Linked DNA regions of Macaca fascicularis. The protein of the gene in region 3 interacts with the protein of the main gene of each other region in a biochemical or structural test. Links are inferred from orthologs where the notes say so. Each region holds a gene or a part of one and is shown on either strand. Other genes may lie near its edges.

What was found.
Region 1: of the proteins of H1-1 (region 3) and PRKCD, one has a biochemical effect on the other in vitro, tested with the Homo sapiens proteins (2 studies listed by BioGRID). The link is inferred for Macaca fascicularis from reciprocal best matches to the Homo sapiens genes H1-1 and PRKCD.
Region 2: of the proteins of H1-1 (region 3) and CDK6, one has a biochemical effect on the other in vitro, tested with the Homo sapiens proteins (2 studies listed by BioGRID). The link is inferred for Macaca fascicularis from reciprocal best matches to the Homo sapiens genes H1-1 and CDK6.

The regions. Positions count from the first base shown.
Region 1 is NC_088376.1:116,293,423-116,303,637, reverse strand, and holds the start of PRKCD (protein kinase C delta type), read right to left. Parts: upstream 5,466-10,215; 5' UTR 5,246-5,465; intron 4,436-5,245; exon of another isoform or gene 4,310-4,435; intron 1,723-4,309; exon of another isoform or gene 1,611-1,722; intron 1-1,610.
Region 2 is NC_088377.1:128,506,316-128,516,530, reverse strand, and holds the start of CDK6 (cyclin-dependent kinase 6), read right to left. Parts: upstream 5,184-10,215; 5' UTR 5,092-5,183; intron 2,547-5,091; exon of another isoform or gene 2,307-2,546; 5' UTR 1,939-2,306; coding exon 1,706-1,938; intron 1-1,705. UniProt on the Homo sapiens protein: Serine/threonine-protein kinase involved in the control of the cell cycle and differentiation; promotes G1/S transition. Phosphorylates pRB/RB1 and NPM1.
Region 3 is NC_088378.1:146,908,843-146,918,041, reverse strand, and holds H1-1 (histone H1.1), read right to left. Parts: upstream 4,604-9,199; 5' UTR 4,546-4,603; coding exon 3,898-4,545; 3' UTR 3,897-3,897; downstream 1-3,896. Other genes in the region: H3C1 (histone H3.1), read left to right, coding at 7,283-7,693; H4C1 (histone H4), read left to right, coding at 8,746-9,057. UniProt on the Homo sapiens protein: Histone H1 protein binds to linker DNA between nucleosomes forming the macromolecular structure known as the chromatin fiber. Histones H1 are necessary for the condensation of nucleosome chains into higher-order structured fibers.

The sequences.
Region 1 (10,215 bases), on a different chromosome or scaffold from region 3:
AGGTGGGAGGGTGGCTGCTGAATGCATGGGCAGAGCCCACCTACCAGGGTGGCCCAGCCCCCCTTAACCCCCTGAGATCACAGCCACACCTGGAACTTCCCCCTCAGGTGCCAGATGCAGGCGACCTTGCTGGGCTGTGACTCTGACCAGGGCCCCCCTTCCTGACCCCAGAATGGGCACAGTGTGGTATGTGTGGGAAGGCATTTGAGTGCATGGATGCCAATGGTAACTGGGAGATCATCTGTGTGTGCGTGAGTGTGCCATGGGTGGCTGCATGTGAGCACCTGTGTACCTGCACGCCCACATGGGTGGTGCACGCACTCATGAGTCTGTGGGTGTGCATGGCCACTGCAGCCTGGCTTGCCATATCCCTGTGTGAGCACGCATATGTCTGTGCAGCAGGCGGGTGATGTCTGAGGATTTACCGTGGGCTGTCTCCAAGACTAATCAAACTCCTTAGAAAACAAGGCTGAGTGACAGAAAGGGCTGGCTCTTCAGAACTCCGGTGGCAGAGGCCCCTACACAGCCAAAGGCACTTCACTTCCTCCACACCAGGTTTAGGGATAGGTCCAATACACAGAAGGCCCAGTGAAGACGACTCCTGTTCTGCCCCAACTCCTACCCCAGGAGTGAGGGCCCTGACCTCCTTTCTGCCCCCTAACCCAGAGTCAGGCCCAGGAAGCCCAGCCCTTATGGCTCTACTCACAGACCTATAAGTGTGTAACAGCCAGTGGGGTTGGCTGCGGTGGTCTGCTCAGGGAGCGCTCCTGGAGGAAAGACGGTCTTTGCTATCCCCCCACTGTCACTCCCAGGCTCAAGCTTCATTAGCACCCATACCCACCACCAGAACCCTGCTCACTGGGGCCCAGTCACCCAGTCACCAGCCTGGAGTGAGTATGGAGTCACCCACAGCAGTGTTTTCATGGTAATGGGGCTGAAGGAGGCAAGGCTTGCCCCAAAACGAGGAATTTCCAGCTTTCTGAGGCTCTTCAGAGAGACTGCAGCCTTCCCAGCATTGTTCCAGACTCTGCCTAACTCCCCTTGAATTTGGAAGCTGACGAGAGGGACTGAGCCCTGCTCGGGCTCTAGAGAAGTGGGGAAAATGGAGGGGCCTGGGGTGTGGAAGACAGCTCAGCTGTACCTGGAGACCCCATTCCATCCCCCCGCAGCGTCCAACTCACTGTGGGGCCCACGGGGAATTTCAGTGTCCTTGTGTGACGATGAGGACAGTTGGAGGCAGATACAGGGCCAAGGAAAAGCTGATACATCCACCCTCAATCCTTGGCCCACGAGCCACCCTCTCTCTAACTGACCAAAAAAGTGTTACTACTTCTTGCCCCAAACTCATGGTAGGCCCCAGGCCTCTGAGCTCCAAGGCGAGAGCATTCGGGGCCAGAGCCAGGTTCCAGGCGGGAAGTTCCTCATGAGCAGAGAGCCCCTCCATAGACAGGGCAAACAGCTGCGGCCCCTGGGCACATAGGGCCCACAACCAGATCAAGGACTCTGCATGCATGCCCAACCCCATCCAGTCCCACAGCAAAGGACAGGGAGGACAGAGAGGAAGGCCACGCCTGAGCACCGTCCATCTGCCTAAGAGAACTCAGTCCTACCTGGGGCTCCCAGCTCCCGCTTGTCCTTAGTCCTGGCTCCTGCTGCTGCTGCAACGCACCAACCACCAGGAGAAACCGGCCTGCACCCTTGCCTGGCCAGTTCCCTGCAGACCTGCAGGAACAGGAGGAAACAGCTGAACCGGGAGGCACCGCCAAACAGGCTCTCCCCATCTGCCAGTCCCGGCATGGCTGACAGGCCCAGTTCAGTCTCTCCTGGCCCTAAAACCTTGGGTCTCTCTGGATGTGGCTTTCCCTTCCTTGAAATGTAGTGTTGGGTCCAACTTTTCCTGGACACCACTATGTGTCCATTCCATGTTAGGGGCTGGAACACTGTGTCCCTGCCCTCAGCACATTTCCAGCCTGGTGAGGAAGCCAATAACACAGCAAAAACCTGTTCCCGACTCTCCTGTCTGCGGGAGGTTGCCCTGCAGGCTTAGGAGTCCTAGGGTGCAATGAAGTACCACACCACTTTATGGCCTGGGGCAATTCCTCTGAGCCTCAGTTTTTTTAATGGAGAAACTGCTAGCCCCCTCTCCCCAGGTGGTTCTGAGGTTCCAATGATGTGGCGTGCAAGCTCCTGTGCTGGACTCACGTTGAGAATGCCAAATGACTGATTTTTTTTTTTTTTTTTTAATGTGGCAGGGTCTCGCTCTATCGCCCAGGCTGGAGTGCAGTGGCACAATCTTGGCTCACTGCAACCTCCACCTCCTGGTCTCAAGTGATTCTTGTGCCTCAGTCTCCTGAGCAGCTGAGATTACAGGCGCGCACCACCGCGCCCAGATAATTTTTGTATTTTCAGTAGAGACAAAATGTTGTCCAGGCTGGTCTCAAACTCCTGACCAAGTAATCTACCGCCTCGGCTTCCCAAAATGCTGGAATTACAGGTGTGAGCCACTGTGCCCAGCCTGAAGAGTGACATTTTTTAATCTCTTGTTTTGTGCATTATAGTTCAGGTGATTCTCACGTTACTATTGTGCCCATTACACAGCTGAAAAAACTGAGGCCTGGAGATATCCTGGAAGGAAGAAATGGCAAAGGTAGCAAGGAACTCTGTGTCTCCTGGCTGAAAGGCCTAAGCATTTTTTCTGACAGCCAGCTCAAGCCTCTAAGAAAGATTCTGCTCCCCAGATGTGAGCCCCTCCCCCAGCTGGAGACCCTCATCACCATTCCCTGGGGATAGAGGCATCCTTGGCTTTATCTTTTCGTCTGTACTTTAAATTATTTCTAATTTTAATCTAAACTGTGCCAGCTAAATGGTGTCAGCGCCCTGCAGTCACAGCTCTGAATCACTCCCCACCCCTCTCTCCCCCATTGCTGCTACTGACACTAACGGCTGGTGAGGGAGGGGCTGTCATGCAGGCTGAACAGGGCTGGGTACTAGGGGCTTTGTCTGGGCATCCTCCCTCCCTCAAGCTGCTTGGTCAAGGAGATGGGAAGGGGCAACAGACAGGCAGGAAATTGGGTTGGATACTGTCTGGGCTTTCTTTAACCCCAGCTCCCAGGAGAATGGGAACCATATAGCCGGGGGTGGTGACAACATAAGACTTCAGGACCTTTTGTCCACACAACTTTCTCCATTCTGCAGATAAAGACACTCAGCCTTGAGAGGCCTAGCTTGGGTCTCTTGCTCTTAACAGGCACAAGCAAGTATTGGAGCCCAAATCATTCTTGGATCCAGAGCCCGAGGTCTTGGTCACAACACTGCTAACCCCAAGACTTGCCCTCTAGCCCTCTCCATGTGCACACCCACATCCTCATGGTCTCCCACACACTCACACACCCATACTGGGCTCTCACCTTCCCTCCCAGCACTGTCACCACACACCTTGTCACACCCCCTCCTGCCGCTAACACCCACGCCCAGGCACTCTCCGTTCCCCACAATCACAGTCACTCCCCAAGCATAGACTGTGTCCCACCAGTCACACACTCCTACCATGACCACACACTGCCAGGCTTACCCCAGTACCGTCCCATCCCATAGTCCTCACACCACCCCTCAGCCAGGTACAGCTGCCCAGACACCTCCACACCTCTCTGTCTCACACACACACACAACTGCACACATCACACATGCGCCATACAGCCTCCCTCTGTTGGCCTGCCCACCGCGCCCCAGCTCACTCCACAGTAGGAACGAGGAAACCCCAGGGATCAGTCCCCTCCCTTAGTGACCAGGTGAGCCTGGTCACAGAAGCTCAGTGGCAGAGGGAGAGCCACACATGAGTACACGCACATACACACACTCATACAGATACACTCACACATGAGCCTGGTGGGCAGGCACCCAACACCAGGGGCTTCCACAATTAACAGATCTAAGGTACTTGTGGGCAGTTGGTCACCATGATATACCCAGTATGCAACACTGAAATCTCCAGACACACAGGGACACACACACTGGCAGACAAGGACACACACACACACACAAGTCTGGTGACAACAAAAACACCAAGAATGGTACACACAGTTGCAAAAGACACACACAGAGCCTCAGGACACAAACAGACATACACACATACACACAAGCAAGCCACACATGCGAAAAAGGACACACATGCACAGGCAAGTCCCACAGTGACAGCACAGAAGCTGACACAGACAACCCACACACCCAGATACCAGTGACTTAGCACAAGGAGATAGCGTCCATGCATACAGGGTAGGCATCAGAGAAGGGGACCCCCCCACACACTCACAGCAAATCCTTCTGACCAGGTTTAAGTGGGGGCTCAGTGGGGCTCTCCTGTGCCCCAAGAGTGAGGGAATTGGGGAAGTGGGAGCAGTTCCGATGGTGCTCTCCTTCTGCCTCTCCACCACCAGCCAGGAGGACTTCCCCCTCCCTCCCCTCACCTGGCAGAGCCCCCACAACGCGAGTGGCATCTGGGTTGGGGGCGGGTGCAGACCACACCGGGCAGGGGCCACCCTGGGAAGGGGTCTCAGAGGGGCGGAGGGGTGGGGCAGTAAGGGGGATGGTGGAGACTGGAGCCACGCCCAGCCCAGAGACGGATGAAGGGACCGAGAAAGACTCTTGAGACCGAAAGAAGAGACAGCGAGGAGGAGGCGCCGCGCGAGTCGGGCCTCCAGGGACCCAGGGGCGGGAGGCGAGGCCCGGCGGGCGGCCTGGCCTGGGCTCCGCGGTAGAGCGGATAGGCGGCTGGACCGGCAGGGGGCGGCAAGCGTGGGCCGGGGGCGCGGCTCCGGGAGAACGGGATCGAGGGGGCGGCCGGCGGGGGTAAGGGTGGGGGTGGGGCGATGGAGCACGCGGAGGGCGAGGGACAGACGGATCGGGTCTCGGAGAGGCGCGCAGGGGGAGAACACAGAGTGGGTGGCGACAGACGGACGGTCACAGGGCCCAGGAGACAGTCGGGAAGGACGGACGGGCCTCTCGGAGGAGCGGGAGACACACGGGCGGGCGGACAGAAAGACCTCAGCCCCCACTATCTGGCGGAGGGACGGACAGACAGACGGACGGGGGGACGGAGTCACCGGCATGTCTCGGCGCGGAGGGACTTTCGCTGACCGCGGCTCAGTTTCTCAGTTTCGGAAACGGGAACCGGGCCGGGGAGGGGAAGAAAGGGCGTCGCGCCCTCGGGGTAGCCCCGATCCCGCGCCGGGTCCCGGCCCTAACTCACCTCCCGGCGCAGGGGCAGGCGCCAAGGGTCGCGGCGGCGGTGGCGGGCGGGCGGCTCCTTGGCGCGCGCGGACGGCGGTCGGCGCGGCGCTGACTGGGACGAGTCCAGCGGCCAGTGAGGTGTGGCCCGGGCCTCGGCACGGCGGGCGGGCGCCGGGGGTCGCTCGGGGGATCTGGGCTGCAGCAGCCTCGGGCTCCGGCGCCGCGGCACACGGAAGTGCGAGGGGGCGGGGCGGCGCGACCTCACCCAGGTGCCGCCGGCCCCGCCCCCTCCAGGCCCCGCCCCTCCAGGCCCCGCCCCACCAGCTGCAACCGGGGACTGTGTCCCTCTGCCTCTTTCTGCGCGGGACACTGAGTCTCCCGGCCCCTCTGCCCTCTGTGGCCCGCTTCGCATCCTCCCGCCATTACGCGCAGCCAGCCCTCAGAAGGGGCCCATTTTACAGAGGAGGCCGCTGAGGCCCGATAAGGAGGCGCCCCCCGCCCGCTGGGGCCTGGGAGGCGCCGGCGGGGGTTCCCCCGCTCCCCACACCCACGCCCGGGACTCCCCACTAGCCAGCTGGCCCGCCTCCCTTGGCCCCACTCCTGCTCTTCCTGTTGGCTGGAACTCGGACGCGGCCGGGCTCGGTGCCCGCCGCCAAGCCCGCTGTCCCGGCTCTGCCCCAAAGACTGAGCTGGTTACACTCCAGGGCCGGAGGTTCTCGCTGGTCGGCCGCTGCACTGCTCCTCAGGCGGTTCTGGGACCTGCCCCTACCCCGACTGGCAGTTGCCCCTACCCCGATTGGCAGTCTTCTGCTCTCCTGCCCCCATCTTCGAGACCTCTCTATTGCTCCTGGCAGGCGCCTGAGCCTCCTTTCCAGACGTGGAACTTGGTTGTCAGCCATAACTCATTCATTCATTCATTCATACACTCATCCATCTATTCATCGAGTGTCCCCTAGGCTCAAAGTCTAGGGACCAGTTGGGGTTCTAGGGTGTCCATTCCCCTGTCCCCAGAGCTCAGAAAGCCAAGACATTATTCTTATACTGATCCAAAGAAATGTCACTTCCCAGGAGACAAAAAAGAGGGTTCCAGGTCCTGGGGAACCACCTAGAAGGGATAGGGAAAGTCTAAACACAAGGGATGGAAGTGGGGGACAATCCCAGAGGTGGCCTGAGCTGAGAAAGGGGCTTGTGACAGAGACAGGTTATTGGACTTTGGTCTTCTTACGGAGCAATGAGAAGGTGGTGAAAGCTGTTACAATCAGTCAGGACGACAGGCTCTAGAGGGCTCCTGCGGGATAGATGGGGCAGAGGGACTGCAGGGCAGAGGAGAGGCTGGATGGGGGACAGAAGGGCTGCCATGTTGTCAGCCACCTGGGTTGAGATTGGGGAAGATGGATGGGGAGAAAAGGTCAGACCAGGTGGGTTCCAGGACTATCCTTTGGGAAAGACATTTTTCTCTTCACACCCAGGCCTTGAGCATGCTGTTCTCTGGGCCTGAATGCCATTTCCCACCCCACCCCCAAACCTCTACCTGCCCTGGTTGTGTCCATTCAAATGCCCCTCCTGCCTGATGCCCAGTTGTAATGCACAGCACTTCCCTGAGCGAAGGACCATATTCATTAGCATGTTCTGTGTCCTGATACCATCCCACCCCACCCATCATGCCCCATGGCTTCCCTGGGGTTGGACTGGAGGAAAGGGTGCACAAGGTGAGCCTCAGGTGACCTTTGCCCACTTGGGATCAGGTTTCCTTCTGGCTCCTCCTTCAGGTTCACAGTAAGCCAACCCAGCCTCTCCCTCAACATAAACAATAGGCCCACCCTGTGCCAGGGACTGCAGCCAGAGGGAGGACTGACCCTTGTGGAGCTCCAGGTCCAGCCACCAGACCTTTGTGGCCTCCAGGTCCAGGCACCAGACCTTTGTTCCCACTCCCTGTGGTTCACCTTGGAAGAAGGAAATGAATAATCATGGCTATCGCTGATAGGGGCTACCCAGCACCAGGCTGTGTGCTGGGTGCTGGATGTGTGCAGTCGGAACAGTTAAGAGGTGAGGGCTACTGTTAGTGCCAGTTTTGGTGATGAGCAAACAGGCTCAGGGAAAGGAGAAGCGACTTGCCCCAGAGTACACAGCTAGTCAGTGGCAGAGGTGGATTCAGACTGAGGTCTCTCTGCCTCCAAAGCCCATAGTTTACATCAGGGATCTCAATTCCAACACCACTGACCTTTGGGACAGATGATTCTTTGCTGTGGGGGCTGCCCTGTGCACTGTAAGGATGTTTAGCAGCATTCCTGGCCTCTGCCTACTGGATGCCAGTAGTACCTCCCTGCTTTAACTTGTGACAGACAAAAATGTCTCCAAACATTGCCAAATGTCCGCTGCAGGGCAAAATTACCCCTTGTTGAGAATCACTGCTTTGACATATTCTGGTGTTACAGGAACAAGATTTACATTAGACAACAGGAAGCACTTTCCTGATCCTCAGGATATGCAGACTTGTGAGCTCAGGGGCTGCAAGCACACACTGGCTTCAGCCAATCTCTCTCCTCTGGAGAAAGGGGAAGTGTGATGTACTCAGAGGGGGGCAGAGGGGCTAAGGCTGTGCTGGCTATGCTGTGGCAAGGGCAGAGAAGGGATGAAGGTGGGCTTCCCTCCAGGCCTTAGGTCCAAGGGCCCCAGGGAGAACAGGTTTGCATGAGGTCCAGAGAGTCCAGGCCACGCTTGACTAGAACCAACCTGCATCTTGGAGCTGCTTCTGGGTGCCACACTGGTGGGCCAGGGCAGGGTCCAGATGAGCTGGTATCTGTGTCCCCATAATCTGCCTGGCATCAACAAGAAGGGCCTGCTGAAGCCTGAGAGCAAACCTTGGCTGTGTCACATGCTAACTGTATGGCCCTGAGTAGGTGACCGTGCCTCTCCCAGCTTTGGAGTTCTCACCTATGAAGAGAGCTGATGACAGACTCATGTCAGAGGTTGAATGAGATGATAAGGGTTAAATGAGATGATATATACAGAGCCTCAGCCAGGCTAAACACATTGCCCAGGGTTACAGCCTGTGACCTGGCATGGTCATGTGCCAAGTCATAGGCCGTCAGCCTTGAAAGAGCCTTCAATGGCCTCTCATGACATGGGACGTAAATCCCTGAGCAGGGCTAGACTCATAGCAGCTGCCTAGAGGTGGTACTTTTCCTCTTCCTCCAGGTTTGCAGCCAAGGAGATGGGCTAGGGGTGGCGCCAGGCAGCTTCCAGACTCCCACCCACGGCATCCACCCAGGGCTGTTCCCTCTGTGGACCTCCTGGAGGATTTATCCAAAGGAGAAGCAGCTTGACCCCTGTCACTTCTGCCTCCTCCAAAGGCCATGAACCCTGGGAGGCCTCCAGACTCCTCCACTCCTGAAGTCCAAGACTCGGCCAAGCAACCTGGAAAAGCCCTCCCTCTGTCCCTGAGGCCCACACAGCTGAAGGCAAATGGGGTCCCTCACTTGATCCCTGCCAAGAGTTGGTCCTTGTCCTGGCCTCTCTGCCTTTTGCACCTTCTCTCTGTTTCTGTCTCTCTGTGTCACCATCCTTGTCCCTGAAGCTTTGGTTGCCACGGCAATCCCCATCACACCCAGAGCACTGGCCTGGCCAAGACAGAGTGGGCTTGTGTTTCTGGAGCAGGAGACACAGTCAACAGTGGTAGTGCACCTGGGCAAGAGCCTGGGAGGTGCCCACTGGGGACAGTGTAGTAGGAAGGACACTTGGGACATGCCCATGCCTCAGGCCACCAAGACTGTCATCAACAGGAGTGTCAGCCTCAGGCACTAGGTTAAACACAAGCAAGGACAGGCTGAGGGGACAGTGGCCTTGTGGGTAGTACTGCATAGCAGGGAAGTGCCAGGCCAGGGGCTGGTTCACATCCTGGCTGTGCCCCGCACTGCAGCTTAAATGTGCCTCAGCTTCCTCATCTGTGAAGTGGAGTTTGGTAAGATCGACCTCCTGAGGCTGAGGGGATGGAAGAGTTCAAGTTCATCCCATGTTGGTGTTACCTGCCAGGCAGAGAGTTAGTGAGGCTGGGCTAATTGCCTCCATGTTCCTTCCTCAACACATTTGTGTTTGGGTGAAACCTGAGACATACTTGGGGGTAGACAAGGGGAAGGTGCGTCCTGGGAGTGCAGAACACAGGGCTTTCCTGTGGCTCTCCCGGGTTGTGTACCCTGGACTGTCCCTTCTCTGCACTGAAAATGGCATAGCTCCTGCCAGCCTGAGTCCCCTTTCCTGGCTCCTCTGCCCCGCCCCCAAACGTGTGTGTAGGTGGGGAGAAGGGGCACTGGTGTTGCGATAGTCATCAGTAAGAGCCATTCCCTCGCACGGAGGCCAGGGGACCTCCCAGCTCTCCTCCACTGCCCCCACCCACTCAGCTCTGATTTACAGGGTCCCTACTGGGAGGCTCTTGGGGCTTAATCACTCACGGTGGGGAGGTAGGGCAGGGAGGGCTATGAGCCTCACTCACCTTTCCTTTCGCTCCCTGGCCTGAGGGTGCCTCAGCTCCCTGTCCCCACCCCTCAACCCCCCATCCTCCACATCCTCAGAGGACAGCTCACTAAACCCAGCTTGGCCCATGGCAAACAGTGTGGGGGGTGGCCCTGAGCTGAAAGGCAGCCGCTCTAGGTGGGCAGGCTGGGAAGGACTGACTGCAGGCACAGCAGGGTCCCCCAAGCCATGCACACACCTCCATACTCAGAGCACAGTCGCGCACACGCTGGTCGGCGCGACTCCCGTGCACCAGCACAGAGAGGCCTCCGGGGCCCCGCCCTCCCCGTGCCCGCCCCGCCCCAGGGAAGCCTTTCGGAGCCCGGGACGGAGACGCACGCCCAGCCGGGTGACGGGTGACGCAAGCCCCACTATAAAACACCCGGCTCTATTCCCGGGTCCGGCAGCCACCTGGCTCCAGCCGTCTGGTGGCGCCTTTGCCTCCTCGCCCCCTTTGTTCTCCTTCCAGGAAAGTCAGGA
Region 2 (10,215 bases), on a different chromosome or scaffold from region 3:
AAGAACTTTTCGTCTTAAAATTGTAGTGGTGGAATTCATCCTTCAGTATGTATTCAGGTGATTCCTCTGGGATGACAACTGAGTTACAGGGGCCTAAATGTACCCTCCCCTTTTCCCTCCAATATCACAAAGAGCCCCCAAAAGGGATTTTGTTGTTTTTAACAAAGAAAATACACACTAAAAAAGTCATCTATAGCTTTTTAATATATAATCTCATCTTCCAAAACACTCATTCTCGCAATCTCAGTATCTTTTGTCCTTCCTTCACTAGCTAAAGCAGAGGTATAATGCGGTTCCAACTTCATAACCATTTACTGCCTTATTTATGTATTTATGATTCTTTGATGCTTTCTAGCTTCAGTCTAAACTGAAGAGAACAAAGCACCGCACAAATCACCAGCCTGGGAAAAGAGGAGACAAGTTAAAACCTCCGAGGAAGATTCTGTAGCGACTTGGTCTCTCTGAGTCTGTAGAGAGTTTGGTATTTCAAAGGTCAGTCTTGGGTCTCTCCACTTTGATGACTAATGTTAAATTGTTTGACTTTTTACAAAAATATTTAGCTGTGCTTATTTACATAATTTCATCCTCAGCGCACACAGTAGGCATGTATTTGTTGAACAGAAGCCCTAAATGGATGAGAAAAAAGATCTTTCTGCTACACATTTTCTCAAGATCGAGAAAAGTAAAATCACAATCCAATTTGTAGAAGTTTTTGTACAACCCAATTTGTAGAAGGCATTCCTTTTTAATGTAAAGCTATGCATCTCTGTTTAAAAAGGAAAAGGATGACACAACCAAACAATGTCAACCACACAATGGGGAAATTCCAGGATCACTAAGAAAACACCATTATCCTAAGTCACACATTTTCATTTAATACTGGTTACCACGCAGGAGAGAGTAAGAACTGCTGTCTCCCCACTCACTCGCACACCCCATCTGGGAAAACCATGGGCAGAACATTTATGATCTAACCATCCCACATCTTGGACTCACATTTAACCCTTTGGAGAATTAGTCTAAAGAGTATGTCCGCCCAGAGATATAAAGTAAAACAGACACAGGGATAACAGTTTTGGAAGAAATTTTTATGACGCTGTTTGAAATTGGGCATCAGCACTCAAACTCCTTAGACCACCAGCAGTCATTCTTATTACGCAACTTTAATAAAGAGAAACTGAGAGTATGACTGGCAAAAATATTATGATGTTTCTGCATCTTCTTAACCTGATTTACACTAGGCTCCACCCATAAAGTTCCCACTGATTACCACACAGCATCCTCATTCTCCAGTCTCACCTACTAGGTCTTTCAAAAATTCCCCAACGGCATGGCCAGTAAAAATATGCGGGAGCTAGCGGGGCATGTCTCCGGTTGGCTTATCCTGTCCCTAAAACGCACCCATCTCCCCCGGACCCTCCTTCAGGGAGGGCACGGAGAAAACGCTTCTAAGTTGCACAGCTGCAGGGAAGCCTGCGCAGGTCATGTTTTTTGACTCGTCTTTCGGCTCGCTGTCTGGCAAGGTCACCGGTTCTGGCTCGCGGCTCTGTCGACAAAACTTAACTCTCACTCTGTAAGATCAACAAGTCGCGCAGGACCTCCCCAGTCGCCCTCTGCCCCACACCTTTCTGGGCCTGAGGATTCCCGGCTCGGCCCTCCCCGCGCGCGCGGCCCCAGACTGCAAGGGCGCAGCTCCCTGGCTCACCTGACCACGTTGGGGTGCTCGAAGGTCTCCAGGTGCCTCAGCACCGCCACCTCGCGGATGGTGGAGAGCGGCATGCCCTCCTCGCCCGTCTGCACCCGCACGCGCTTCAACGCCACGAAACGGCCTCCGTTCTTCAAGTCGCGGGCCTTGAACACCTTCCCATAGGCGCCCTCCCCGATCTCCGCCACGCATTCGTACTGCTGGTCAGCGCGGCACAGGCCGTCCTTCTCCATGCCGCCTGGACGCCGCCCGGCGCGTCGCCGCTGGGGCGGGCGGGGGGTGCGCTCAACTAGCTGGCGGCCGCCGCTAGCCTACTCCGGGGCTCCCCGGAGATTGGTCTAGCTTTCCTTGCTCCCTGCTGGCTCAGGCGCTCGGGCGCTGGGGCTCTCGCGGCTGCGGAGGCTGGATGGAGCGACCTCCCCGCGGGGCTGGCGTAACTCTGGTGCCGCCGCCGCGAAACTCCGCCTGCAGAGTCGCTGCTGCCGCCGCCTGAGAAGCGAGCCGATCCCTCCTCTTCCCTCCCCGAAGCGAAGTCCTCAGCACAGACAGAGACGATTACATAGCCTCTGCCCAAGGGCGTCTCAGTCCAGAATCATTGCACCTAAAGGAGGAGACGGGAGGATAAGAAGAAAGTGCAATCAGACAGCCCAGAAGCCTTCCTCGGGGTTCCTCCAGACTCCCCTCCTCCTCCTTTACGAAGCCTCCATCGCTACCCTCCGCGCGCTCCTGCCCTCTCCCAAGCCGCTTAATCCTTCCTGGTTCCTCCGAGAAAAGCGAAGTTACTTTTCTTTCCCTGCAGGGCTGAAGCCGTCTTCGCGCGGAGAGGTTGCAGGGGCCCCTCGGGGATGAGCGAGCGGCGCGGGACGCAGTGGAACGGGAGGGGGCGTGCCGAGCAGCCCAGAGTGTGCCGGGAGCGCGGGGGAGGGGAGGCGCCGGGCACGTCAATGTCACGGCTTAATATTTATCCCTATATCATTGTGTTGCGTCGCTACCCTCCCCGCCTCCTGAGGCCCGGACGTGCAGGGAGATGGGGTCCAGGGGTGCCGGAGGGCGTTCAAGGGTCGCGCACAAGCTGGAGCGGAAGGACTGTGGGTCCATCCGTGTGGGGCCGCAGAATGTGGGTGGGGGCTCCCAGGACCCTGTAACCCGATGCTGTGAGTGTGCGAGAAGGGGTGGTCAGACATCTGCTCAGAAATTGCTTCCTTTCTTTCTACTTTCAGTTTTTCTACGAGGAGACATTTAAAAACGACTCGCATACACAAATGGTCTCTTTGGGGTAAAGGAGTCTCGGTTGGAAACGGAATTCTCTCTCCGACTGGGAGGACCTCCCTGGTGGAAACCTTGGGAAGACCAGCCATCTGGTCGGGGAGGGTTGGGGCTAATCGGGGGTGGGCGAACGAGAGGTCCTGGGGGAGGGGAGACACTGTCCCCCACGGGATCCCAAGGGTGGGAGAAAGGGGTGTTCGTCACAATTTCGCTTGTCGTCTTCTTAAAGAATAATTTCAGGAAGAGGATAGCTTAATCGCGCCTCGTCCTGAAGTTTTAAATTGATTTCGACCTGAGCAAAACTCAACCTCTCTTTCAAAGGGTGGGGGGTGGGGGGTTAAACCCTGCGCCTCCAGGGGTGAGAAACAAGGTCTCTGCCCTCGGGGCCCGGACTCGCGAACCTTTTCCCACTCCCAGGACCACCCCGCTGTAGGTAGCGGAGGTGGCTGCCCCATTCCCTCTCCGGCTAAAGGCCGGGTCCAGGCTGCAGCCGGACGCCCCCGGAGCCCTCTGCATAACAAAGCGCCGGAGAAGGGTACCCTAACTTTCCCTCCCCATTCAGCAGCTATCTGGGACCTAGGGAGCCTCCCTCCCCCACGGCCGCCGCGGCCTCGGCAGGACTTTCACCACGCTGGCCGCGTGTCCGGAATTCCCGGGGCACCTCGGAATTACCTGCCTCGCAACCGCTGCCCCGCTCGCCTTTTGCCAGGAATTAAACAAACGGCGCGACCCCCACGATGAGCGCGTGGAGCGGACCGCGGCGAAAGCAGAGCTTCTGGCACTCACTCCATTCAGAACTTTCCTTAAAAGCCGAGGAAAGAGCCCCCAAGGACTGCCCGGGCGTCTGAGCCAGGTCGAGGGCCACACAGGTAGCCGGGGAGCCGCCGCCGGCCGCCCAACCCGCCTCTCCTGCGTCCCCCCATCCCCCTCCCGCTCGAGTCTAGCCCCGGGCTCCGCAGCGAAGGAAGCGTCGGGGACGTCCCACCCCCGCAGGGAACTTCGCCTGCTGCCCCCGCCGGGCCCCGCACTACCCTGACTCTCCCCCCACTCGCCCCCCAGACGGTCGGCTTCGGCGGAGAGAAACGGGAGCAGCAATGCCTTTTCCCCCCCTCTCCTCCACTTTTTTTTTGTTGTTGTTGTTGCTTTCCCACGCTGGCTGAATGTGACTTGACCCCATTTCAAAAAAAGTTTGACATAGTGCTTCAACATTTCCGCATTCCTCCGCGACTACAAAGGCTGCAGCCGCCTCCTTCTGCTTTCTGTCTCTGCTCTCTGTCTTCACACTCAATGAAATCCTTCATGCGCCTCTCCCGAAGCCTGCCAAGCACCACAAGGGTCGCCACCAGCACGGCAACAAGAGGCCACACCGGGGACCGCGACTCCCGCGTGTGCGCACACGCAGATGCGCCCATATGCACACGGACGGGCGCCCTGCGGGGACAAGGGCTGCTCACCACGGGGCGTGTGTTTAACTCCAATATTTTAAATGATAAAAGTAAACTTGGAAACTAAAGCAAACGTGCGTCTTCGTGGGGCTCCAAGCCTGGGCACCGGCCGGCTGCGTGCACTCTTCTGTGCATAACACGCCCGCAGGAAGCCTGCGTTAACATTTATCTCGTGGAGGGGAAGGTGGAGCCCACACCCACACCTCAGCGAGCTGGCGAGGGAGTTTTCGTGGGGGAAATGCAAGCACATTCTCCAGCATGGAGTCCCTAGAGGCAGTGCATTTTGAACCCTAAATGTGAATTATTATGTGAATGTCCGAGTAAAGTTCCAGTTCCGTTTGGAGAAACTGGATGAGGAGTGTTCTGTGTGAGTGTGTGTGCGCACGGGTACGTGGAAGCAGGATCTCGGTGTCGCGGGTGTCCCTAGCGTAGGATCTCCCCCTCTCGTCAGATTAGAATCCTCTAGCTCCCCAAAACTGGCCCCCATAACCAACGCCGTCTCAGTTCGTAAGGGGTTAACCAAAGCCGATTCCAGGGAAACACAGGTCCCCCCCACCCCCCGCCAGCCTCCACTTACCCCACCCACAGTTCTGCCTCGGACCCCGGCCAATCCCCCATATCTCCCCAGGGACCCCCCACCCCGCAGCCCACCCACCCGAGCGCACAGCTCCTCACCTGAGGGGCCCAGTCGCGTCGGGCCTCCTGAGGGGGCTGCGAGTGTCAGTCGGCTCTCCGCACGTGTCCGCGGCCTCGCGGAGCAGGTAATCAGACTCTGGGGAAGGAGTTACCAGCACTCTCTCCGGCGAGGGGGTGGGCACAGCGGCGGAGGGCGGAGGGAAGGCGGAGGGCGCCGCCCGCGCCGCTAGCTGGGGGCGGACGGGGGCCGCGGGGCTCTGGCCGGCGCTGGGGGCCCCAGCCAGGGAGGCAGCGGGGGCGACCGCGCGGGGTGGGGGCAGGGACCCGAGAAGCCAACTCTGCCGGAGACCCACCCAGCGGCGAGGCTGGGGGCTCGTGGCGCAGTGGCAAGAAAGTGTGCAAATTAAAGCCTTCCGGAGAGAAAGGAGGCGGCCAAGCCCCGGCAGTGCTCCGAGCTCCGGGCTCCCTAGCTCCCTTCTACGAGTCGGGGGCTAGAAAGGCGCGGGGCGGGGGGGTTGGGGGGGCAGGGGAGTTAAATGAAAATTTCCGGCTTTCACTGAAACTGTAGTAGGGGGATCCTGCGACTAAAATAAGCGGCGTTAGTGGGAGAGAGTGGGACGTGTCGTCGGGAGTCGGCGGAGTTTCCAAACCCAGGGTCGCCCAGAGTTGGGGTTTTGACAGGGTGAAGCAGGGGGTATCCTCACTGTGTGACGTGGACGGATGGGAAAAACACAAAACAACTAACAATAATTATGAAGGGCCGATGGGGGTGGTAAATACCAATACTTTCCAAGAAACTGAAAAATCAGACCAAAAAATAACTCTTCTCTTAAAAAAATAAAGAAAAAGTTTGGCAGGATGCCTTGCAGAAAAGAAAATACTAATCTGTTCAAGCACTTTTCACTTTCAGCATGAGCTACATTTGTTTTGTTTTCCTTCGCTTCCTTTCTGCCTCACAAAGCCCTATCTTTTCCTTTTAGACAGAGGGTATGGTTTGGAAATTGTCAGGCACTCTTATGGTTAACGATCTACTTGAAGGGGCTGGCGGGTTCACAATTATTAAGTGGTTAGTAACTGCTGAGGGTTCACTAACGTATTTCAGAGGAGCTAAAAGGACTAAAATTTAGTGTAAATAATAGAACTGCAGACAATAGATACATACACAGAAAGAGGAGTGCTCAGTTTAAATGCATTATTGGAAATCTGAAATTTGAAACCTTGTAAGAATGTATACTTTACCTGCTGAGAAACCCTTGAATACAATTATTTCAGGTGAAAATGAGCTTTTGGAGAAAAAAAGTCTTTAAAACCTTCTACAATGGAGTAAAAGAAAACTTGAAATAGCTGTCTTTTTGGAAAGAATTTGGTGTTCTCCCCAAAATCTCTATCTGTAGAATACTTGAAACCCTTTAAAACATATTAAAGAAAAACTTTTCACAAAATTATTTACTTCAGTGCTTTGTAGAAAAATTAAAACCCGGCAAAATTCTGTTTGAATTGGACATACTACTTCTATAAATCTTTTGACTTTAAAACCATGTTACTGATCTCATAGTAAATCAAATTTTTGCCTTTATAAAATTGATTCTATATTATAGTATAAGGTAAGGCTAGGGAAATAAAAAATTGATGCATTTCCAGTAGCACATATTTTGCAATGCATTATAATATTTTTTTCTTTAAAAATAAAAGTGAATAATTGTATGTCTTTAAGCTTAAGATAATTCATAAAATACATTTGTGTTAAGAGCATGTCTTCTAAAATAAGATCCAGTTTTCTGAACAAAATTTGTATTTATAAAGCTATCTATAATCTCATATATCTTATAAATTTAATAAGGCAAATCATTAGATTTTATATTTACATAAAATATTAGATCACTACAAATCACTAGACTTTAAGCCAGAGACACAAATGGGAATCCTCCATTTGGATAATTGTTCACACTTACCATTTGCCTTTTAAAACAAGGTTTACTTGATGGTAATTAACACGTTTATATAATCCAGAAATAATTGCCAGTAAATAGGAACCAGCACATCATGGCTAGAATTTATTTGAATAAATCACTTATTTAAAAAAAAAATAAGCTACAAATATCTTTTAAATGAACAGAGAAGTGTCTTTTCTACACTGGGTTGAAGTTTTAATTACTGAATTTGACAACAGCCATTGCTAGATCAGAAATTCCATGATTTAGGTTACTAGATCATTTGGACAATGTAAAAAACAATGAAACTTTATTTAATTATATATGTTAATACTGAGTGTTAACTCTCTGTCCTCTTCTTTTCCTGATATTGCTATCTTTTATGTTAATTTATCGTTGTTCACTCTCCCTGGTTATGGTTCACATTAAATCCCAGTTGGTGAAAGCTTCAGACCCAAGGAAGTTTTTACAACTGATTGTATGAAATTAGTAAATACCAGATTATTTTTGTTTATGGGTAACTTCTGCTGTGGGTAACAGGTTATCATAAGAAAATTTGTTCAAAGTTTTTAAACTGTGAACCAAATTCCAACTTCTTTGTTTAGGAGTCTTCTGAGAATTAATATATAGAACTCAAGAATAATGACTCCAACCAATACTTTCATACCACATATCAGATATTCTGAAGTTGCAAATCATCTTACAGTTATTTAAAAATTACAATTCATGGACTTATTTCCAAATATGGTGGTGTAACTTACACTGAAAGATTTCTTAGTGTCATATAAGGAATGTATTTCATGAGTGAACATTTATATATCAAATACCTGTACAATTTTGTTTTCACTGAAATAAACATAAAATTTTAAATTCTGGTCTATAATTTTTAACCTTGTTAAGGAAATGAGTAATTTAGTTACAAATAATAATTACATAATGTACACCTAAATCTAATTCATTTCTGATTTATATTAGCTGTTTGAGTTTATAAAATATATTTTCCAGAAACTCAGAAATGAGATTTTGCTGTAATTTACTACACAATTATTTTAAAATACACTTCTAGTTTAACTTTGAAACAAGTTACTCTACTTTTTAACCTGATTTATGTGTTTGTGTACATGTTATCTTTATTGAGTAATAATCATGAGAAACTATAATTTTAACAGAAATAGCATAATATAAATGCAGTGCATTTTAATGCATTCTTCTTTCCCTTCTCAGACATTTCCAAGATGTTTTGTTGGGTTTTCCCCTGAACTATATTGTTGAAAGTTTGCTAAATATCTTAGGAAAAGTCAATTGTATTATGAACTTTTTGCATTGTAAAATTCTGAGCTTTAAATGATTTTTAAATTTCAGTCTTCTAAATAAATTATTTCTGTAAATTTGGAATGACCTGGGTTTTTCTGTTTTTACTGTTGCATGTGATCTATTGCATTGCATTTGAGCAGTGAAACTTGGAATGAGTTTGATATCTGCCATGAGGGAAAAAATAGAAATAAAGTAGTAGCTTATAACATTTAAGGAGGAAAAAAACAAACATTACTATCTTTTGGAACATTCTGCTTCCATTGATTCTACTACTCTATAATTTTCTTTGTGCAACATGTCAGTACTATGTTCATATTTGAATAATTGCCATCATCTTTTTTAATTTTTCCCTTTTGATAGACACCCATATCGTTTTTTTCTTTTGTGTGTGTGTGTGTGTGTGATACCTGTATGTTCTTGGCATATTGTTATGACATGTTTGAGTTTGAAACATGTTCTTAAGATCCTTTCATCATCTATATTAGAATTCTGAGTAATCAGAAAGATAACTATGGAAATATACTTACAAAAGATGGTGATAATCACATAAAAAAACCTATGTTTTCTTTCTATTTACAGTGACCTGTAATTTTCACTTGTTTCTAACATTTCTTTTCTGAGATAATACTTGCATCTCAGCTGCACACATGGCCTAAAAATTGTGTTGCCATAGCTGCTTTTGGTTGAGCTAAAAGGTGTTTACATGCTTTAGATAGACCATTCAGTTGGAGCAGTAAAGGTATAACACAGTGGGAGTGAACGATGATAAAGTGGAATCTCAGAGGTAGGAGGAGGGACAAAGAAGGCACCCAGGGAGAAACTTCTGTGAATGGCCTGGCAGCAGGGACAAGTGAAGGAAGCACATGCTGAGGTCGTGGGGCTGAGAGATGCAGCCTCAGTGCTTATAGGTATGGCGTAGCCAGGCAACCCGATTCTTTCAGGATGAATGGCCTTCTGTGTCTATCCTATTATGCAATTAAATGTCTTATTTAAATGAGGTCATATATGTATGACTCCATATTCACATGTAAATCTATTTTATGTTGTCTTATTCTAGATTTTTCCCAAAAATAACATAGAATGGAATTCTTTGCAGAATTCTTTGAATGCCTAGAAGAAAATATATCATAGCATAGTTCTGTGGATCAAACATTTTACCATAAATTGAAGCGAGAGTTTGATTTCTAAACCTTGTTATAAGATTGTTCAAAATTACTCACATCTTTGCATCCCCAGTACCTAGCACAGTAACTGGCAAGCATTTTATGTCCAATAAATGTTTGTCAACAGAAAAGTTGACTTTGCATCCTTTAGACCGTCTTCTTTGGAACTGCTTAATAAAATTTAAGGACCTATGTGCTGATTTCAGGACCTCAGAAATGTGTTTTCTCTACCTACAGTTCTTTTCCTTCTTAGCCCTCTTCTCTAAGTCATGTCATCCTTGCACGCTCAGCTCTTCCATAAAACCTTTGAAATTCCTTCAGCTGGAAGACATCCCCCTTTGCTCTAACTCCTGAGGCAATTCGCTTTCTACCGTGTTAAGCTACCCTGAGTCCTCCCAAGAGCACCCAGCATACTTAGTTCCCTTTAACAATCCTCCAACTCCTAGTTGTGCCCTCTGGCCCTGGTAAGTGGTCAGTGAATTCAGTAATCATTCTTGTCCCCTTCTAGGAGTGTTACTGAGTCAGGCGGGCACAGAACAGACTGGTACACCGTGACATAACTAGAATAACATTTGAAAGTTGAGGACCAGTGTTCCATGTTGCTTAAACAGGAAAGAGCCAGGTCATCCTGCTACTTGGGGTAAATTTGGTATGTTTTTTCTTGTGTTGCTGATATTAGTCATTTAAAACATTTTTGTCTGAAAGAAAATGTGTTTAGGTACATTTCTAGATTTGTTTAAAGACAAATTCCTAAA
Region 3 (9,199 bases):
ATGAATCTGTTCAAACCTAATGTTCTGGAGTGAAAGATGTCAGGTACATAGGATTACATATGTTTTATTTCCATTTTATATGTTTCAAAAACAGGCATACTAAATTACAGCATTAGAAATCAAAATAGGGGTTATGTTTAGGGCAGATGGAGTGATATGTGACTGGAAGCAAGCATCAGCGGCTCTGGGAGGATTGGCTGATTTTCTGTTTCTTTTTACTTGTGTGGCAATTATTATGGTGTTCACTTTGTGTTCATTTATTGAGCTTTGCATTTTTGTTTTGCTATGATTTTCTGTTTATATGTTATGCTTCTCAGTTCAAAGAATGTTGAAATCTTCTAATAAGAAAAATTTTTTTCCATGAGAAGGATTTTAAGCACCCAGAATCAATTTTAAAATCTCCAATTTGCTATATGTAGGTTTATGGACTGCTTAACTGCTACTCACTTTTCCTTCATTTATCAATATTGAAATATGAAATTAAAATAATGACTATTTGTGGCAAAATTAGGGACTATGTGGCATATTAACAACTTTATAAATAAAAGAATAAATCAACTCACCTGGGAGTTGTTACTGTCATTGACCTAATGCTATTTCCCATGGTACTCCTTCTCCCTATTGAGAGACATGAGATACTGCAGATTTATGGGTCACTTTCAACATGTCTCCTTCAGGCCTCATTTTAGAGAAGCATACCATCATGAGGTTCTATACAGGCAGGATCTAGGCTTGTCTCCTTGAACCTTGCATTCCCTCTCAAGAGCCAACCAATAAGTGAATGATCCTATAAAAAACACAGAAACATAGAGAATAGTAGCAGAAAGTGGACGCTTACCAAACCCATTTTCTCTTTTTCTAAGCATGGAATAAGAATAACTTATCCTCCTCCCTTGGAGTTAGGAGTTCTTATGTAGTAAGGGAAGCAGAGTGACCTTCAGGAGAGTTTGGAAGAGGGAGTGATAAATCAGTTTAAAGATAGCACCCAGTGATTCTTAGATAACTTATTCCACTTTCCTTCTCACTCTTTTGCATTGACCATGGCTTAGAATATATTTGAGGAAAAGCATCATGTCCATAAGGTATTATTGCCCTTTAAAGCTGATGGGGGGTACTATGGATGGTACTCAGAGTAGGACAGAGGTTGTCTCTACAGAATTTTCTCTGATAAAACAAAAACTAAATGACTTCCGAGGCTTCTGTAGCTCTAAGCATTCCACAATTCTTTGGAAAGCTGGAATCTAAAATTGCCTTAAAATTAAAAAATAAGAACAGTAAGGGTGTACAGTCTTTACCATATTTATATAGAATCATCAGTCTTCAGTGTGATATTGGTGCTTGAACCGACAGAAGGACTGATGAAACAGAAGACAAAGTTCAGGTCTGGCGCCATGGCTCACACCTGTAATCCCAGCACTTTGGGAGGCCGAGGTGGCCAGATCACTTGAGGTCAGGAGTTTGAGACCAGTCTGGACAACATGGTGAAACCCCATCTCTACTAAAAATAAAAAATTAGCCGGGCATGGTGGCAGGCACCTGTAATCCCAGCTTCTCGGGAGACTGGAGGCATGAGAATCGCTTGAACTCAGGAAGCGAAGGTTGCAGCTGAGGTCATGCCACTGTACTCCATCATGGGTGACAGAGCGAGACTCTGTATAAATAAATAAATAAATAAAATAATAAAATACAACCTAACAATCTCAGCCCTGGAATTCTATTCAATTGCACCATGTTCAGCAGTGGTAACTGGAAACATCAATGCTTATCAATAAGAAATGGATGAATAACTTATGCTACTCCATGTGAAGGATTTCTTTTTTCATGACAGGGTTTTAGACATGTTTGGTTAAGAGAAAAGCAACATGCAGAAGTGTATATAACATCATTGTACAAAATTTTTATTATTTTTGTTTTGAGACTGGGTCTCATTCTGTCATCCAGGCTTGAGTGCAGTGGCAGCACGATCTCTGCTCACTGCAGCCTCTACCTCCCAGGTTCCAGTCATCCTCCCACCCCAGCCTCCCAAGTAGCTGGGACTACAGGTGCATGCCACCGGGCCTGGCTAATTTTTTGTATTTTTTGTCAAGACGGGATTTCACCATGTTGCCCAGGCTGGTCTTGAACTCCTGAGCTCAAGCAATCTGCCTACTTGGCTTCCCAAAGTGCTGGGATTACAGGCGTGAGCCACTGCGCCCAACCTTTTTTTGTTTTTTAAATTAATAACCCTAATCAAAAGACAAAACAATTATGCATACGGAGCCAGGCACAGTGACTGTAGTCCCAACACTTTGGGAGGCCGATGATCGCTTGAGGCCATTTCTAGACCAGCCTGGACAATATGGTGAGACTATCTCTACAAAAAATAAAAATAAAAAATTAGCCCAGCGTGGTGGTGTGTCCATGCAATCCCAGTTACTCTGGATGCTGAGGCTGCAGGATAGCTTGAATCCAGGAGTTGGAGGTTACAGTGGGCTGTGATTATGCCACTGCAGTCCAGCCTGGGCAACAGACTGAGACCCAGTCTCAAAAGATAACGTTTATTTTTTTTAAAAAAACAAAAAACTATGCATGTATATAGATAGGTGTATGTAAAATACTTAGTTCAAAGAAAAACATGTATATTTCTCACAGAAATAGGTGAGAATTTTTTTTTTATTTTTTTTAAAGAAAAACAGGTAGCTACATATTAGTTTGAGGAAGGGGGAACAGGGATGTGATGTGCCTGTATCCCTGACTTTAGACGATGGAAGGAGCTAAGCAAAACAATTGAAAAAAGACCGACCGTTTGAAAAATACAACTAATTATTAACTCATATGCACACACGCAAAAATAAACTTTTAGAATTGAGCTGCACTGAGTAAACTTGGCTCATCATATACTCTTTTTGTCAGATGTAAAAAAAAGTTCAGTTATTAAAATTGAACCCCAGAATTAAAATTGCAAAAGCTTAAAGGGGCAGTTCTGAGAAAAGGATCTTCAGTATTGAATGTGTGGGCTCCACCAGGGTTGAAAATCCTGCACGATTGATGAAACACGATCCAGTTAAGCATAGTAATTTTCAAATATTATCCAATCAGGTCGCTACTGTTTCTAAAAACAGAGAAACCGAGCAAGGGCTTTAGAGTTGCAGCTCTAAAACTCCATTGCAACTAAGCTCCTTTGTCCTGATGAGGGCCTAAACCAAGTCGACAGCCTGTAAGTGCACCCATGGTAAAGCGCTGCGCAAAGCAAGAGCATTTTGCGTTTCAAAGCTTTGTCATGATGGCGCTGCAGAAAGCGAGCGAGCTAGGCCTACCTGGTGGGGCTTTCAGAGGACGCCAACGTGGGCGCCAGTCACGCCAGAAGGGTCACCGTCATTCCCAAGGACAGACACCTCTCTAGCCACTGCTGCCGAGAGGGCGTGATTAAGCCATGAATTTTGCTTACTATCCCAGAAGCATTTCTTAGGACCACCCAATTTCGGAAAAGGCTACTTTAGCAATATTGACCCAAGAACGCAATGTCCGCACTTTAACCTTGTATAATAAAAAAGCCTCAAGCCTGGGACTAGGCTTCAACCTTGGTTCGTTACAGTTATGACTAATTAGCTTGGGGTCGTGAGATGCGGGACTTCGGGCTACTTAAAAAAAAAAAAAAAAGCAAAACAGGTGATCTAAAATTCGACTTTAACTCGGTGCATTTGAATTCACCTTGCTATCTTTGATAGCCTCATCTGGCAAGAATTTACTACTCAACCTATGTTAAAGTTCCTATTGACTCTCCAAGTGATTCTAATATAAATGAGGGCGTATTGCATTTGCTTGGGGGAATTTCATCTGTGTACTACAGCTCTTTTCCCGAAGTGTGTAGGTGGCTCTTAAAAGAGCCGTTGGGTTAGTAGAAGTTTCCAACCGAATTTACTTTTTCTTGGGTGCCGCTTTCTTGGGTTTGGCAGTCTTTGGCTTCGTCACCTTAGCCTTGGCCGCCTTGGGTTTTATAGCCTTAGTTTTAGCAGGGCTTTTAGCTACTTTCTTGGGTTTTACAGCTTTGGGTTTTTTGGGACTCTTAGAGGATTTCCTTGTTGCCGCAGACTTTTTAGCATTTTTTGGAGTCTTGACGTTCTTTTTGCTAACCCCCGTGGCCTTTTTGGGCTTTTTAGACGCACCCGTTGCCTTGGTTTTTGCAGCCACCCTTGAAGCGCCGGGCTTGGTTTCCACGGAGGATGCCTTCTTGTTGAGTTTGAAGGAACCCGAGGCGCCGGTGCCCTTCGTCTGCACCAACGTTCCCTTGCTTACCAGGCTCTTAATACCCAGCTTAATGCGGCTGTTGTTCTTCTCCACATCGTAGCCTGCGGCCGCCAGCGCCTTTTTAAGAGCAGCCAATGACACACCACCACGCTCCTTAGAGGAGGAAGCAGCCTGCACGATCAGCTCTGACACGGAAGGGCCAGCAGGCTTTTTCTTAGTGGCCACCGCAACCTTAGCAGGTTTCTTTGCCTTCCTGCTAGCTGAAGGTTTCTCAGGAGCAGCAGAAGCGGCGGGAGCGGGAGGCGCCGTTTCGGACATGGTGACTAATACAGCACACCAAGTAAACTGGTATAAACCTGACCAAGCAGGATGCGAGAAAAAAAAGGCCCCGACTCAGCCTATTTATAGGGTGGGACTGCGCAGTGATTGGTGCCCGTCAGTGCCCGCCCCTCGCACCCTAGCGCCCCCTGCGCTCTGCAGAGGGTTTCCCCCAGTCTCAGAGAGCACCTGGGGGCCTCTAGGGCCTATGGTCCCGCTCCCCTCAACGCAAGCAAACACACCGAAAAAGCCGCTCCGATTGCCTCATTGTGAAGGAAATTGTAGGCCGACTGCCACCTAGTAACATCAGAGGGTGCCGCTTGTCTCTCAAAAAGCAGCTCTGTTTTAGGGAGTAGGTTGATGGGGAGCGGTTTGCAAATGCAGCCCCACAAGCATCCAGGGAGTTTTATTAGAAAGTTTTAGAGGTCCGTTGCCAGATATGTTAGTTTTTAATTTGCAAGAAATGTAAAATACAGTGTTTGAATAGTTGGGGAGGAAGAGGAAAGTGCGGGTTTTAGGCCGTGTTAGGGCTAGTAGTCATCAACTCGATTACATTTTCTGGCAATGTTTTAGAGCGATGTGTCTCGCGAATACCTTTCACGTCAAAGAAGAATGAATCGTAGACAACACCAGAATTCACTAACGCTGCAATTAATACTCAAACTGCAAGTGTGGAAACGTTTCTGCACTTGCAACTTACTTCCACAGTCCAATGTGGGATGCACTTCAGGAATTTCCAATGCCCTTTTCATCCATACAACATGCCCCAAATGGGTGTTAAGGTTTACAACCTGTGTTCCATGTCAGCACATGCAATGAGCGCACCATGACATGGTGAACTCATTGTTTTATTCAACAAAGATTTATGGGCCTCACAAACCTGCGAAAGGCGTTAAATGCTGGGTCCAAGAAACTGGTTCCCCGACAGGCATTCTGCTGGGGAGTTAAGTCTCCTTAGTGTGAAAACAAACGGTAAGTGTAAGCACACCCTGGGGATAAGATTTTATGGTAACCTCTCTTTAGCTTGTTTGTGGCTGTTAAGAGCATTTCAAATTATCAATAAGCTAAAACGATCTCACATTGCCAATCAGAGACTCAGCTAACGGGAGAACAAAAAAACTATTAAATCGACATCCACTTCTACAATCCTATTCTGGATAACCCCTTAACACAGCGGAGAGTGAGGGAATGCGGTCTATTTCCGTTCGTGCTGTTGTAGTTTTTAAATAAGTCCGAACTGTGCTAAGTAACCTGAGCTTTTTCCCTTTTTCTTCAAACAACGTGTCAACCAAATAATTGTAGTAGTCCCAGATAACTATTGTACCCATCTTCTTTACCAGTGTTTCCTACGTCTATTTTATTGAGAAGCCACGCATTCAAATATTTCACGTAATTTCTTAAAATTTGGAAAATAACATTTGGAAACTATACATCTTGGTTTGACGGCTAGTCAGTTATGAAACACAGGTATATAAAATTGGAAGGTTTTTGTAAGTAAACCCTTTATGAAAGATATAAACCTTTCTTAATGTAATAAGCGAGGTATCTGAAAAAAACGCAACTTTTAAAAAGGAAATACTCCGAATTATCTGATTCAGGAGCTTCCACTTTAAATAATGGGTTCTGCCTCCCTTGTTTCCATTGGGTTAAACTGGCTTCAAATAAAATGGGAACGCTCCATGCAAATAAAGGATGATAGATCTGCTTTCTAAATGGCTGTTCAAGAAAATAGCCTAAACCAATCAAAAGATAGAAAGTGGCCTGTCTCCTGTGAATTTAAAAAGGTCACAATCCACTTTTTAGTGTTTTGAGACTTTTAAAATGATTGCATTAGCGCTTGGCAGTGCTAAATTATGTTCCTTGCGGACTACCATCCAGTTTCTCTTGGGCCAAGTCCACCTCCTGCTCCGCAAGAGCAACAATTCCCAGCTGGTGGTACCTGGCGGCAGTGCTGGAGAAACGCCATTTATTGACTGGCAGAGTACACCTAGGCTTAGAAAACAAAAGCTGCAGAACACTGCAAGTTTAGGATTCAAAGAGCATAATCAAGAGAAAGACGTCTCATAGAAAATGTTTCTATGAGGAATAGTGTAATCCTACTATGTTTGAGATGCTTTGTAGATTTCAATAGCGCTACTAAGTCAATTAAAGCATTACAAAGGAATGCAATTCTTGTGAAAGGTTTCAGAAATTCCCGTAAAGGGTACATTTCCGGAGAGGAGAATTCCCTCTTTTTTTTTCTCCTAAAGAGCTGAAGGCTATACAGAATTGGAGAATTATAATACCTTTGGAATCAATGCCTTGTTTTATGGAAAATAAACACAGCCTTCAGGTTATGAAAACCAGATGTATAAGAGGACAACAGATTAAAAAATTAAAGTGCAAGCCGGCGCGGTGGCGCTCCCCTGTAATCCCAGCTACTCCGGACGCTGAGGCGGGAAGATCCTTTGAGCCCAAGTTAAAGCCAGCTTGGGGAACAAAGCAAAAGTGAAATAAAATAATAATAATAGTAATAATAATACCACTTTAAAAATAATCTGTAGAGTTGGAATAGAATATAGTAGCCAGTGAAACTGCACGATTGTTGAGGCTTAAAGATAGACCAATCAGAGCTTGTAACGTCATATTTAGCGTCTTCTATCATCCAATCACTGCACTTTACTCACTATAAATAGCAGAGAAGCTCGCGGACGTATTTGCGCTAGTCTTGGGTGTTACGTTGTGCTGTTTTCCCATCATGGCTCGTACTAAGCAAACTGCTCGGAAGTCTACTGGTGGAAAGGCGCCACGCAAACAGTTGGCCACTAAGGCAGCCCGCAAGAGTGCTCCGGCCACCGGCGGTGTGAAAAAGCCCCACCGCTACCGGCCCGGTACTGTGGCTCTGCGCGAGATCCGCCGTTATCAGAAGTCTACCGAACTGCTGATTCGTAAACTACCTTTCCAGCGCCTAGTGCGCGAGATTGCGCAGGACTTCAAAACAGACCTGCGCTTCCAGAGCTCTGCTGTGATGGCTCTGCAGGAGGCGTGCGAGGCCTACTTAGTTGGGCTGTTTGAGGACACTAACCTGTGCGCCATCCACGCCAAGCGCGTCACTATCATGCCCAAGGACATCCAGCTGGCTCGCCGCATCCGCGGAGAGCGGGCATGATTACTCCGGCAGCTCTGACGGTCCAATCAAAGGCTCTTTTCAGAGCCACCACCTTTTCAAGTAAGGTAGCTGTAAGAAGCCAATCTAAGACGAAAGGGAATGCATTGGGAGCACTTTTCGTTTTGATGTTTGCCACTGAAGGCTTAAAAACCATTCGATTTTGGCTGGTCACTATGACGCGCCTGTGATTCAAGCACTTTGGGAGGCTGAGGCGGGCGGATCACCAGAGGTCAGGAGTTTGGGATCAGCCTGGCCAATATGGCCGAACCCAGTCTCTACGAAAAATACAATAACACGATGGGCGTGATGGCAAGCGCCTGTAATCCAAACTACACTCGGGAGCCGGAGGCAGGAGAATCGCTTGAACCTGGGAGGCACAGGTTTTAGGGAGTCGAGATCGCGGTAATGTACTCCAGCCTGGGCGCCAGCGAGTCTCAGTGTCAAAAGAAAAACATTCGACTTAAAATAGTTCTGGAGTCTGAATGGGTTTGTATTTCTTAACCCAGTTCCTCAAAGCCTGTAGCTCTGTTAATAAAAGCTATTGGTCAAGCCAGCTTGGTCCCACCCCCGTCTCCCAACCCTCCCCCAACCGCCGCTCCCGCCACTTCCTGGGGCTTGGAGGAGGAGTAAGGGAGGGCACTGTAGGCGTCATATTTCCCGCCTGCGCGCTTTTCATTCTGTGTCCGCTGGGGGTGGAGGAAGGGGTAACATTCGGTTACCCCTAAACGTAAAGATCGGTTCCCCTATTCTCTCTCTCTCTGGTTAATTCTTAACCCAGTTCCTCAAAGCCTGTAGTTCTGTTAAGAAAATAAAAGTCATTGGTCAAGCCAGCTTGGTCCCACCCCCGTCTCCCCACCCTCCCCTAACCGCTGCTCCCTCCACTTCCTGGGGCTTGGAGGAGGGGTTGAGGGAGGGGACTGTAGGCGTCACATTTCCCGCCTGCGCGCTTTTCATTCTGTGTCCGCTGGGGGTGGGGGAGGGGTAACGTAGATATATAAAGATCGATTCCCCTGTTCTCTCTCACTTGCTCTTGGTTCACTTCTTACGAAGTCATGTCTGGACGTGGTAAGGGCGGGAAGGGTTTGGGTAAGGGGGGTGCCAAGCGCCACCGCAAGGTGTTGCGCGACAACATCCAGGGCATCACCAAGCCGGCCATCCGGCGTCTGGCCCGGCGTGGAGGTGTCAAGAGGATCTCTGGTCTGATCTACGAGGAGACTCGCGGGGTGCTCAAGGTGTTTTTGGAGAACGTGATCCGTGACGCTGTCACCTATACGGAACACGCCAAGCGCAAGACGGTCACTGCTATGGACGTGGTCTATGCGCTCAAGCGCCAGGGACGCACCCTTTATGGCTTTGGCGGCTAAGGTTGCTGCTTTCTCCCCAGCTTGCGTTTCCGAACCAAAGGCCCTTTTCAGGGCCGCCCAACTAAACAAAAGAAGAGCTGTATCCATTAAGCCAAGAAGCTCAATGTATAGTTAATGTGAATGATAATGAGCTGACATACTA